Bombyx mori: one gene and its partner. The protein of the gene in region 1 binds, or shares a complex with, the protein of each later gene. Links are inferred from orthologs where the notes say so. Each region holds a gene or a part of one and is shown in the gene's direction. Other genes may lie near its edges.

Region 1 (6,786 bases):
CCCACGCTTTTCATCCTGTATATCAATGACATGCTGTCTATTGATGGCATGCACTGCTATGCAGATGATAGCACGGGGGATGCGCGATATATCGGCCATCAGAGTCTCTCTCGGAGCGTGGTGCAAGAGAGACGATCAAAACTTGTGTCTGAAGTGGAGAACTCTCTGGGGCGAGTCTCCAAATGGGGTGAATCGAACTTAGTTCAATTCAACCCGTTGAAGACACAGGTTTGCGCGTTCACTGCGAAGAAGGACCCCTTTGTCATGGCGCCGCAATTCCAAGGAGTATCCCTGCAACCTTCCGAGAGTATCGGGATACTTGGGGTCGACATTTCGAGCGATGTCCAGTTTCGGAGTCATTTGGAAGGCAAAGCCAAGTTGGCGTCCAAAATGCTGGGAGTCCTCAACAGAGCGAAGCGGTGCTTCACGCCTGGACAAAGACTTTTGCTTTATAAAGCACAAGTCCGGCCTCGCGTGGAGTACTGCTCCCATCTCTGGGCCGGGGCTCCCAAATACCAGCTTCTTCCATTTGACTCCATACAGAGGAGGGCCGTTCGGATTGTCGATAATCCCATTCTCTCGGATCGTTTGGAGCCTCTGGGTCTGCGGAGGGACTTCGGTTCCCTCTGTATTTTGTACCGTATGTTCCATGGGGAGTGCTCTGAGGAATTGTTCGAGATGATACCAGCATCTCGTTTTTACCATCGCACCGCCCGCCACCGGAGTAGAGTTCATCCATACTACCTGGAGCCACTGCGGTCATCCACAGTGCGTTTCCAGAGATCTTTTTTGCCACGTACCATCCGGCTATGGAATGAGCTCCCCTCCACGGTGTTTCCCGAGCGCTATGACATGTCCTTCTTCAAACGAGGCTTATGGAGAGTATTAAGCGGTAGGCAGCGGCTTGGCTCTGCCCCTGGCATTGCTGAAGTCCATGGGCGACGGTAACCACTCACCATCAGGTGGGCCGTATGCCCGTCTGCCTACAAAGGCAATAAAAAAAAAAAAAAAAAAAAAAAAATAGGATTCAGCCGGCGAGAGAATGAGATTGAACACAGACGTTCTTTCTCAATGTAGTTTTTTTTAATACAGCGCCATCTATGAGATGTTTTTAATACTAACGTGTGTATGAAACCTCACTGAATTTTAATTTAGGATTATACGTGAAGTTAAAATATCAATTCACAGAGGACGCTACCTCATACTATAAAAGATGATTTACAATTATTTACTAATGACAAAATTTTACATACACTTATACATTTAGGATAATTGTATTTTAAATTTTGAAGGTTTCACTTCTACCACGTGTAAATTGCACACGTTTTTTGAAGTTATACTTCTTTAGGCGGGTTATGAAAAATTTAGAGTGAAATTTTACGATGCGCGCGCACCGTGACACAAAATTAACAGAGCGAAGTTGCCCACTAAATCGCTCATTACAATACGACCGACGTAACTTGGCGAGTCTGAATATAGCTGCAGCCGCATGTACACTCGTAAAAAAAAGTGTTATTAGCATCAATTTTTTAGTAATATAAATGACAAATTTATTATTTAATATAATTCATACTAAATATTATTAAATTGTTAACGTTAAATATTTATTATTAATTATTTAATATTTAAAAAAAAAGAAATAAATTTAATTCAAAATTCAAAATTCAAAATCATTTATTTCAACTTAGATGTCAGTATGACACACTTGTTGAATGTCAAAATACAAATAACAATGTTAACTCTACCACCGGTTCCAAAAAATAAATATAATAAATAATAAAAATAAAGTATAACTTCTTACGCGTGTACATAAGTACACGCACCCTTTTTGTTTTCTTAGCTCTACCTCTTCCTCTATATCCTTCCACATTCATTGTTAACACTCTCTTACCAACCTTATTTTCATTTCGTCTAATCACATGTCCATACCATTAAAATTAAAAATACAAAATTAAAATAAAAAAAAACAAAATTTAATTTTTTAATAAATGTCCTATTCGATATGAGCACGTCCATCATTAACATACAAAACGTATGTGTATTCGTTCACAGTTCACTCAACGCTTGCTCGAGAGTCACGCTAACGTCAAAGACCTACCCCTCCTCGAAGCGAAGCTCCAGTACATCAAGACCTGGCAGAACCTCGCCGATTACGGACAGACCTTGTTCGTGGTTCGGTTCATGGGCCACAAGAAGGACGAGATCATCGGCATCGCCAACAACAGGATCATGAGGCTGGACCCGCACACCGGAGATCACATTAAGACCTGGAGGTTCAGTAACATGAAGGTACTTATTTTCTTATAACATATTTCTATAACACTTTAGGACGTTTGGATCTCCATATCTTTTCACTTTATGAAACCATTGATATTGTAATTTAAAATTATTTTTGCAATGTTGCCTCATCAACAATACATATAAAAAAGTCGCACTAGTAAACTTCTACAAATTTTAATTCTTATGGATAACAAAACACATCTGTGATTAAAAGAAAATGGATCGCGAAAAATTACCCTAAAAATACATACATAAGTTTATAGCGAATATTTTTAATTATTATATTAATAATAGTTCCGTCATCCCAAATTGATAGTGACATTTAATAAGCAAATAAACATTTACCTTTATAGTTCAATGCAGATGGAAATTTGCGGCAAATCGAATATTTTCCTTAATAAATTTCCACAAACACTGCGCTTAGTGCGAGTTTTTAAACGTTCTCGATCGCGTCAAAGTTAACGCAAATTTGTATAGAGCTGGAACGTTTGCCTACGTTTGCCGCTAGGGGCGCTGTTCCAATTCCATACAAATTTTTAAGTTAACTTTTACGCTATCGAGAACCTTAAAAACTCGCACTAAGCACACGGAATTAACATTTCGAATTCTGGTTGCAGGCCTGGAACGTGAACTGGGAGATAAAGCACATGATGGTCCAGTTCGAGGAGGACAACATCATATTCTCCGTACAGTCGGCCGACTGCAAAGTCGTACACGAGTTCATCGGCGGCTACATATTCCTTTCGATGAGGTCCAAGGATGCCAACCAGACATTGGACGTTGAACTGTTCCACAAACTGACCGGCGGGTGGACGTAATATCTGACAACCCTAATATTTTTTTTTTATTATGCGACGCTCCTTTTGAGCAGATACATTGTTTAATTATATTATAATTTTTTTAATTTGAATTATTGCAGTTTCGAAGTGTCCAATAAAAAATCCGTCATTTATATTATTAGCACAGTAGAAACGTTCGTGAATACTATTATTTAAATTTTAAAATTAAAAAACCACTTTCGATGCTAACGCTAAAGTTAGATGCAAAATACGAGATACATCAAAAGGAAAATATTAAAACAATAAATTAATGAATCACAGTAAGTTTTAATGGCCTTCGGGAGTGCCTTGAGTTATAAAGGTAATAAGTAAAAGTATGAATGTAGTGTATTTTTGTACGAAAAATTAATTAATCAATATTTACTTTAAGGTCTTATATATTGTAGTGCTTCCAAAATTAACGTTATTTAGCGACCGTAATCTTATACCAAAAATGGTTATTTGATGTGGAAGCTAAATTGTATGCTGCTTTCAGCCGTCAGATTATAAAAATATATATTTAAATCTACTTTTGGAAAGCTAGAATTTATGGAAACTACTAAATATTTTATTACTACCAACCTATTGAAAAGTGCCATTATTACGCTTGGAATTGTCTTTGGTGCTTTTGTGGGCTTATGGAGAAATTTCGTAATTTAGACACGTATAAGGATTTATATAGTTATTTTATCATTGTAAATAACATTAGCTAGGTATTAAAATGTACACCACTGTTGGTCGTATCAATTATCAATATATATGCTGTATACCTTATTTAATAAAGTTATTGACAACTAGTCTCATCGAGATCGCATATAATGCCGTCGTATTTAAATTATACAATACGAGTATTAACAATGTAATTTTGCCTTTATTGTAATGTATATTGTAAAAAAAATATATTAACGTATTCACTTATTCAATAATATAGTGTTTATAATAAAATTAAACTAATAAAAGAGTGTTTTTTTTTCTTTTTATTAATATTGCGACAAATATCTTTTATGGTATCGAGAGATTGCAGTTCTTGTTGGAGGTATGTTGATGACTAAGGTACATGAGCCGGCAACATCGTTCACTTTGATTTTTGAATTTGAAACTGACCAAAGAACGTTGGGCATTTCATCATCAGTTTTCCCTTTGTACTCTTCAACTGCTAACGTATCTGACTGACCACACATTGGCCTGGTGAAAAAGAGCAATTTTGAACCTGGAAACACACTAAAGATTTATTTACAAATCTTTCACAACCTAAAATACTTTTTTTATTTACGTGAATTTTACCTAAATGGCAAATGGCAGCTGGCGGATTCGTAAAGTAAGTGATCAACTGCAATTTCGTATCTATGCCAGGTCGAAATCTATAGAGATGGCTAAAATAATTTTGTGTGCAATAAATGTAATTATTGAATGACGTCATACAATTTGGTCTAATATCTGTTAGTATGACTGTGGACCATCTATCAGTTTGCCCTAAGTCCTCATATTGGTAAATATTCTTCTGACCTGATACATAAATAGAATTATTGTGTACGCACACAGCTGGATTTTGTATTGTATCTGGTAATTTGGCAATCTTCCTGTGTGTTCTTTGTTTTAAATCATATATGACAGCCGTATCAAGTACAACTCTAAAATGAGAAAAGCAAAATTTATTATTGTAAAGTGATTTTATCAAAATTTCAAGGAACAAAACAATTTATAAAATATTACCTTTAGTAACTATTATTTCACAACAAAATAGGCACATAACTGCGAATTGTCTTGATGCTCAGAGAATACAGAGTTAAAATAAATAAAAGAAACCAACCTAAAACCACCTACACCTCCAATAATGAACAATGAGTCTCCCATAATAGCAACTCCACCATGTCTTCTCGATGGTAATTCAACACCGTGCAAGATCCACTCCTTACGGAAAGTGTCATATACTTTAACATCTTTCATGAATACACTCGTACCTCTACCATGTTCTCCACAAACCAGAACAAGTTTGTTGGCACCCCATGCTACCACATTCCAACCCCATAAGTTTTTCTCTGCAACTTCCAACCATTTTTCAAGGCCTGTATCTTCACTAAATGTATACATATTATGCGATATCAATTCAGGTTTTGTATCTTTGACTATCCAGACTGGTACTGTGGGTGTGAATATCAGCTTACGATTAACACTTGCACTTACTAACTTAAAAACTTCAATATATACCCTGGCAGTGAACTTTTCGCATAGTTCATCTTTCCTTTCAGTCAAAGTTATTATAGACAATTCACTGTGTTCAGTAATCTCTAAAATACAATCAACTACTTTAAGAGGCAAACTATCAACAAAATCCTTTATAAGGATTTTTATTTCTTTGATATCATTATGACTCAGTCTTTGTATATCTAAACATCCTAAAACTATCAATATAGCATCGGCCCCTGTTTCTGAATTTATAATCCATTCGTAACCAAATCTAAAAACCTCTAATTCATTATCAGTATCTAAATATGGATGTGATAAATACCAAAATAGTCTATGAATATTTAAAATGTACTCTTTTTTCATTTGTTTAAAATTAAGTAATCCAAATGCAGCACTCAGTTGCTCTAATTTAGTATAAGAAGAGTTTTCTGCTATAATCATTGTCTCCATCCAGTTTGAGACAGAAAGATGGAGATCTAAACAGTATTCAATCTGCTTAATTAATTCTGTTATTTGAAGAAAGTTCGCTGCGATTGACAATTCTCCAATAGTTGTCAGTGAGTATTCAGAGAGATCTATCAAACCTATTCTCATGTATTGAAGTATCATGTTCATTGAGTATGCATCAACCATCTGGAAGTGGATATAGAAAGAGTAATTTTTTTAATATTCAGTAATTTACAGTTCTTCTTGTTTACAGTCCTTTTTTATTTTTAAGTTACACTATCATATTGTAGGTAGATATTTATTCCCACAGATGTCCTCAAATGGACATAGGCCTCTCCCAAACCACAATGATCGGCCTGCACTGCTTGCGTCCAGCAGATCCCGCATACCTCAATAGGTGGTCTGTCCAACGTGTGGGAGGCGAGGGAGCTAGTGTGGGTAGCCACACTACGTCTACGGTACGTTCTATACATAGAATATTATAAATAGAATAGTTAGCTGTCAACAGCCTACCCTCACCAAACGTTCCACAATGAGGTATGATTGAGGTACCATTAACATCAAGGAATCGCAAAATTATCAATTTACTACCCACTACTACTAGATAATTATGATTAAAAATTAAACATTTTGCGATTATTCATAGAGTTAAATCCATAATTATTGTTTTAATTGTTTGTCATTTTATACATTAATTTAATTTAGCTAACATAATTTATAATTTTCCTTACATCAATTTTTATTTCCTGTCGTTCGTTTTCAATATAGTTTCCACTGAACATTGCGCGAAAATAGTCGCTGTACTCGCACAAAACATTTTTGTTCGCCGTGAATCTCTGATTTTCTATTAAAAGTGTTACTTCTTGAGTGTCCTCCATCTCCTTATTAAAATCCAATAATCATATGTTATAAATGTTCAATAGAGTTAAATCAATTTTATCAAAAAGCTAACCCGCAAAAATTTAAATAAATTCGTTGGCAGTGGGGTACGGTATTCTGTATGTTTATGTTTACCTCATGGAGTTAATAAGTACCTAGTTTACCTACATTCGTG
Region 2 (6,476 bases), on another chromosome or scaffold:
TTACCTGTGCTACCTGTGGAGTTGAGCTGGATCATACAGCCAGAGAAGTGAAAAATCGTCCTGGATATGCTGCAAATGATGTTGTAAGTATATTGAAATAGTCACATAAAATTAATATTAAATAAAAATTAATTTTAAAGGACAATTTGCACATTCAGACAGTACATTCATCCAATGAAATCGTTGTGTGTACAAAAAATATGTATCAATGTCATGGGTTTATCTGTTAGATAATCAAGATGAAAAAATGTAAACTCTAAATGCGTAAAAGAGAAAAAGCTTAATAAAGCTAACATATTTGGAATTAAATTGTTAAGGTCAACAAACAAGCTAGCCAAATATAAGATAGAAAGTCAATATAAAACGTATTGTAGACATAACCTTAGAAACCATTGTATCATTATGACAAATATATTACCAAAATTTATGATAAAAAATCACCTTGGTGATGCAAATTAAATTCTTCCTATTCGTACACTCTTGACAGAGTTGTCATGGTCATGCATCAGTCGAATCCTGGGATACCGATGCTCACGCGATGCGACGCCATGTGGCACGGTGTTTCGCAGAGTGAGAGCAATCATGTTGGTGTGAGTCGCAGATTTTATGAGGTCGGTCCATCGTGTTGGAGATCGTCCGCGAGATCTTTTGCCCTCGACTTTCCCTTGCACCACCAACCGCTCAATGGAGTCTTCGTTACGAGTGATGTGCCCGAAGAACTAATGCAAATTAAATTATCAACTAGTTTTTAATTCCTTAAATGTAAATGAGAAGTTGACTGTCAATCATTTAAGTATTTTATTTATTTAATCTGAGCTAATCGAAGTTTGTTTAATTAAAAAAAAATATTCCAGAATAACCTCTTTTGTCTTCGTTGCCATGATAAAATGGGTATTCCAATCTGCGGTGCTTGCCGACGTCCCATCGAGGAGAGAATCGTTACTGCTCTCGGGAAACATTGGCATGTTGAGGTATGCTCCAATTAATTTAAACATACAATTTGTGATACAATAAGATTGTCCTGAAGCGGTAGGTATCATAGAATACAATAAATACCATAAAAATCAGAACCTTTTTAGTCTGTCGATGCTGGTCACGTTTATAGAGCGAAGTCCTAAAATGATTGTATTATCATTGGTCTTTGATGCATGTTCAAGTTAATGGGACGTCTTGAATTCTGTCAAAATTAAGTTGAAAAATTCCGTTTCATACAAACATACATATTATTATGTATGTATAAACCAATATAAAAATCCACTATATGCTTCTGATTTTTCATTCAAATTGCGCATTCTATTTTCTACCACCTCGTGGCGATTCCCACTTAAGAGGATATGCAAGTGACTTCAGAATCTAATCTTTGGTTATGGCCGAAGCCACTTTTGTTGTATGAAAAGTGAAATGGAAAAAATAGCAAAACATCAATTGACTTGCTATCACGATACTTACAAATCTCTTATACACGACAATTCCTAAAATCCATAAGTTTCACTATTTGCGAAATTCATTAAAAGAGAGTGCTTCAGCATGATAAACAAATGTGTCATTGCAGCAGTTGACGACGTCCTATCCGTTACAAGTATTTATCGAAAATCACACACCATAATAGTAATCTCGGCGTCCAACTTCAGACACGAGGTTAAAGCCTCAATTGTATTGCATTAATAAAATTAACGATTTTAGATGCGACGAATCAGTTATTGCCATTGCCTAGTTCCAAGTAAATACGTACCTAACATGCTCACTTGAGCGACTTCCACGATGAAATAAAAATATAGTGTTTAACAAAAACCGAGAATCTTATAAATATGCATAATTATCGGCGGCAGTATTGGGAGCCCACACACGGATAAGTGTTACCGGTCTGCCTATCTATGCGGCGAAACCATCCAGCGTTTCGATTGGAAGGGTATGGTAGTAATTATAGAATTGAAACTTCGACGTTGCAAGGGGGTAGCGCAATTCACATTGCGATATCTATGGATTAGGTTTTCACTAGAGGTCGGAGTAGGTAGATTGATTTAAGATCGTTGACGTCAAATGTAGAGGATAATATGGATATGCCTCCAAAATACCGGAACTTCATATTTATTGCGATATTTGTTCCGGAATTTTGAAATTATCATGAATCTGTGTTTAAGGTGAAAAACATATTAAAAATATTAATCCATTATTCCATATTAGTGTATATTATAATATTTTGACGCAAGTATATAAAAAATCAATCTACCTACTTCGACCACTGGTTATCATCACCCGTTTGCTACCTGTTCCGTTTGAGTCGAAAGCAATAAAAATAATAATTTAAAGAAAATTTAATTTTTCAGCATTTCGTTTGTGCCAAATGCGAGAAACCATTTCACGGCCATCGTCATTATGAAAAGAAAGGCTTGGCCTACTGCGAACAACATTATCACCAGTTGTTCGGCAATTTGTGCTACGTCTGTAATCAAGTTATCGCCGGCGACGGTAACTATTCGATTATTTCATTTAAAATTTAATGATTTCGGCATGTGATATGATGAGGTTTCATAATTGTCTGTATTGTATTGGTTTATCGTTTAAGTACACTGTTCTGCGTAATAAGTAAGTTGTGTTAATAAATATAATTTTTAATAAAGAAAACAATCGAAAATGGCCAAGTGGAGTACACGCAATAGTTAAATTTAATAAAAATCTTTGTTTTTTAACTAAGTTTAATAATGCTTTAATATCGTGCGGGCTAATACTGGAAAAAGCCTACTGAGTTTCTCGTCGGATCTTCTCAGTGGGTCGCGATTCCGATCCGGTGGTAGATTTTGCGAAGCAACGTCGTCAGGTTAGAGCACCTATTCGCACAGTTAAGTTGACATAACCTCACGAGATTACCAGCATAAGTGGTAAAAGAACGGGAAAGATTTCTACACATAGCTGTTGCACAAAATAAGTTCTGAACACAATATTTGTGTTATTGGTTAATAATCATAAACGTTTTTATAATATCACAATTCACTTAAAAACTAATTATATTCAGTGTGATTTGAAATTATATCTTGCTTATTTAGCTGATTTTTTTATATTATCGAATGAATATATTCTTAACTTCTTAAAAATTTGTGTGCTAGTATGTATTATAATTATGAAGGTTTTAATGTGAATATAATATAGGTTATATATCACAAGTAACATGTTACACATAATATGTAACTTATTGTGTTGTACTGCTGATTGCTACTTCAATAACACAAACTGGTCGAATCAAAAATATCTATTTAATTTACCATTTTTTTTCTTAATAACTGTAATTTTATTCGTAGTATTCACCGCATTGAACAAGGCTTGGTGCGTACATCATTTTGCGTGTTCCGTTTGCGATGCGCCGCTGAGCACGCGTAGCAAGTTCTACGAATACGACGAGAGGCCCGCCTGTAGACGCTGCTACGAGAAGTTCCCGGCTGAACTACGACGTCGGCTACGTCGGGCTCATCACTACACGGTCCGCCGTTAACGAAAAATACAAGGAATAAACGACATTAATCTGTCTATACCAGTGGTGGGCAAACATTTTTAATGGCGGCCACAATGTTTAGGAAATACTAGAGGAGGGCCAGAATTATAGAAAAATGTTTTTTTTTCTCCAATAAATGAGATAATGAAAGCTCCAATTCGTCAGGGGTGTTTTGAGGGGAGTTTTGAAAAATTCGAAGATTTTCAATTATAAACGTCAGATTTTATTTTACGCGCCAAACTGCCGACTAGAATATTTGGGACGGACGGACTCTCGGCGGGCCGGATTAAAATACTTCCGCGGGTCGTACTTTGCCCATCACTGGTCTATACTATACTAAACCACTATACCACAGTAATGTCGGTGTTCACATTTTTTTAACATAATTAACTAACAAATTTAAAAATATAATAAATGTAGTATGCACTTGCCATTTGTGCCTTGAAGTACCTACTATGTAACAACTAAACTTATTAATGTAATATATTAAGTGTAAAATGTAATAATTAATTATTTTATACCATACAAAATATAATGATTATGAATGTTGTCTTTACTCGCACTGATCATTGACGCGTTCGCTATTTTGTTCAAGTGCAATGGATTTATTTATTGATTTGACTCCTTTAAAAATATTATTTTGAAGTCGCTCTTATCTATTTACGACCAGATGAGCTATAAGTCAATTTAACTCTATTGGCAATAAAAATGTATCTGTTGAATGTGCTTGTAAACTATGTTTTGAATTAAGTCAAAATATCAGTTTGGTCACGTGAACCTGAATTTAAAAGCACAAAATATAAACGTAGAACTATTTCTAAGTTAACTATTTATATTAATGAACTCAAAAGGCTTGGCTTCATAAGCCAAAACGGAAACAAATCTGTAGATATTGTACACTATATGAAGATTATTAATATAAATTTTCGATGATTTTTATAAACCAATTGAACTGAATATTACAGCAAATGTGTGGTCAAAATGACGAATTTGGATCTAATTATTTTTTAATATTAATTATATAAGATTATCTTAGCCAGGGACAATGACAGTGACAATCAGACCGATATAAATGATATTTGAAAAACCCTCTGAAATGATAAATATATTTCAAAAAATTATATTCATTCCATTTTGAAGAATGCTACTTTTGACTATAATATGCTACTGCATTGTATATTAATGTCACGTTTTTAGCATGCCTTACATTAGACGAAAATTATGATTTAAAAGAAAAAAGAAAACTTGTTTCGCACCCTTTGTAATATTGTTTTTAACCCTTTTAATGTATAATACAGATATTTTATAATTTAATTTAGATCTAAATATTTATGTAACACCAAATAAAGTTTTTTACTAACACGTTATTCTTTTGATTATTGTACAATGCACGGGATTAGGGTTTCGTCAAGTTACCAAATACAAAATCAAAATTTTGGGAAGTTTTGATTTTAAGATTCTAATTTGTAATTTATTTTGTTATAGACAGCGTGTTTAGTGCGACTTTTTTAACGTTCTCGCATGTAATTAGTATGGAGTTGGAACGTTTGTCCCTAGCGGCAAATTTATGTTACCTTTTACGCTATCGAGAACGTTAAAACACTCGCATTAAGCACATAGATAGGCTATATTGTCATTTTATAAGTGGTCGTTGTTGCTCATGAACATCAGCAAACAAAAGGGTAATAATAAAAATAAAATCATTTATTGTCTTTCACATTAAATAGAATAAAATACAAGAAAAATAAAAATTAAAAAAAAGACAAAAGGAGGTGGCTCAGCTAAGGCTGTTCAAGGTCGATAAATCGAACAGCGCTGATTATCCACAATACGAGGTTCTTTATTTTAAGCTATTGCATAGCTTTTTTTAATGTTTAATATGGCGTGGTCTTGTTTTAATATTAAATTATAATTGCATAAGTTGATAAAAAATGCATACCGCGGCAGTTCCCCAGTGCCACACGTTTGTTTTTTTTTTATTGCTTAGATTGGTGGACGAGCTCATAGCCCACCTAGTGTTAAGTGGTTACTAGAGCACATAGACATCTAAAACGTAAATGTGCCACCCACCTTGAGATATAAATTCTAAGGTCTCAGTATAGTTACAACGGCTACTCCACCCTTCAAACCGAAACGCATTACTGTTTCACGGCAGAAATAGACGAGGTGGTGGTACCTACCCGTGCAAACTCACAATAGGTCCTACCACTAGTAATTACGCAAATTATAATTTTGCGGGTTTATTTTTTATCACACGATGTTATTTTCCTTCACTGTGAAGTAAATCGTGAACATTCGTTAAGTACATATTTCATTAGAAAAATTGGTATCCGCCTGCGGTATTCGAACACCGTTGCATCGCTAGATACGAATGCACCGGACGTCTTACCCTTTAGGCGACGATGACTAAAATATCTTCTATATGGAGACAAATGAAAAAAAGTCCAGTAGATTCTTTCGATAAACTTCCATCATTCTCGGTGACTACCTCTCGCATTCAATGAATATGAGTTGACAAATACCTATAAGTTCTTTTTCCGATCCGGGGGACTCGACAGGACATGTTTAGTGCGACGGCGGCTTTGCAATCTCCTTCGCCTGGGTCGGATAATATGAGTTGAGGTGTTTAAATTGTTTCGTGCCTGACCCCGGTAATCATGGAGAACCATTTAGATGTTTTATCAATCGAATTGAGTCCAAGGTCTGTTACTTAGTTTTGTTTAAAATTATGCTCTTATCTCTTTATCATTTATTCGCGATTTCCGTAATACAAGAACACCGCAGTCCGGGTTACTTTAAAACTGTAGCTTAAAAAAAGAATTTTCTTGTGTCACACTGGTCCACAAACTACCATCAGTCCCGCCAGCGAATGCACGGACGTATTTATTATAACAGATATACCGACTGTTATCCGGATCATAATTTACCATGGTAAAAGTATTCTCCCTGTACATTCAAGTTATAAACTACTAGCGATCCGCCCTCGCTT

What was found.
Region 2: unc-112-related protein (region 1) and LIM and senescent cell antigen-like-containing domain protein 1 share a complex: the UniProt entries of both Caenorhabditis elegans proteins name them as parts of the integrin containing attachment complex. The link is inferred for Bombyx mori from reciprocal best matches to the Caenorhabditis elegans genes unc-112 and unc-97.

What each region holds. Positions count from the first base shown.
Region 1 is NC_085131.1:10,831,950-10,838,735, reverse strand, and holds the end of unc-112-related protein, read left to right. Parts: intron 1-2,052; coding exon 2,053-2,289; intron 2,290-2,897; coding exon 2,898-3,098; 3' UTR 3,099-4,057; downstream 4,058-6,786. Other genes in the region: kelch-like protein 26, read right to left, coding at 4,079-4,308, 4,383-4,729, 4,909-5,918, 6,464-6,613, 6,780-6,786. UniProt on the Caenorhabditis elegans protein: Component of an integrin containing attachment complex, which is required for muscle development and maintenance. Probable regulator of cell-extracellular matrix adhesion. Required during initial muscle assembly to form dense bodies and M-lines.
Region 2 is NC_085112.1:7,030,714-7,037,189, reverse strand, and holds the end of LIM and senescent cell antigen-like-containing domain protein 1, read left to right. Parts: coding exon 1-83; intron 84-854; coding exon 855-971; intron 972-2,327; coding exon 2,328-2,469; intron 2,470-3,296; coding exon 3,297-3,487; 3' UTR 3,488-4,849; downstream 4,850-6,476. UniProt on the Caenorhabditis elegans protein: Component of an integrin containing attachment complex, which is required for muscle development and maintenance. Probably function in adherens junction.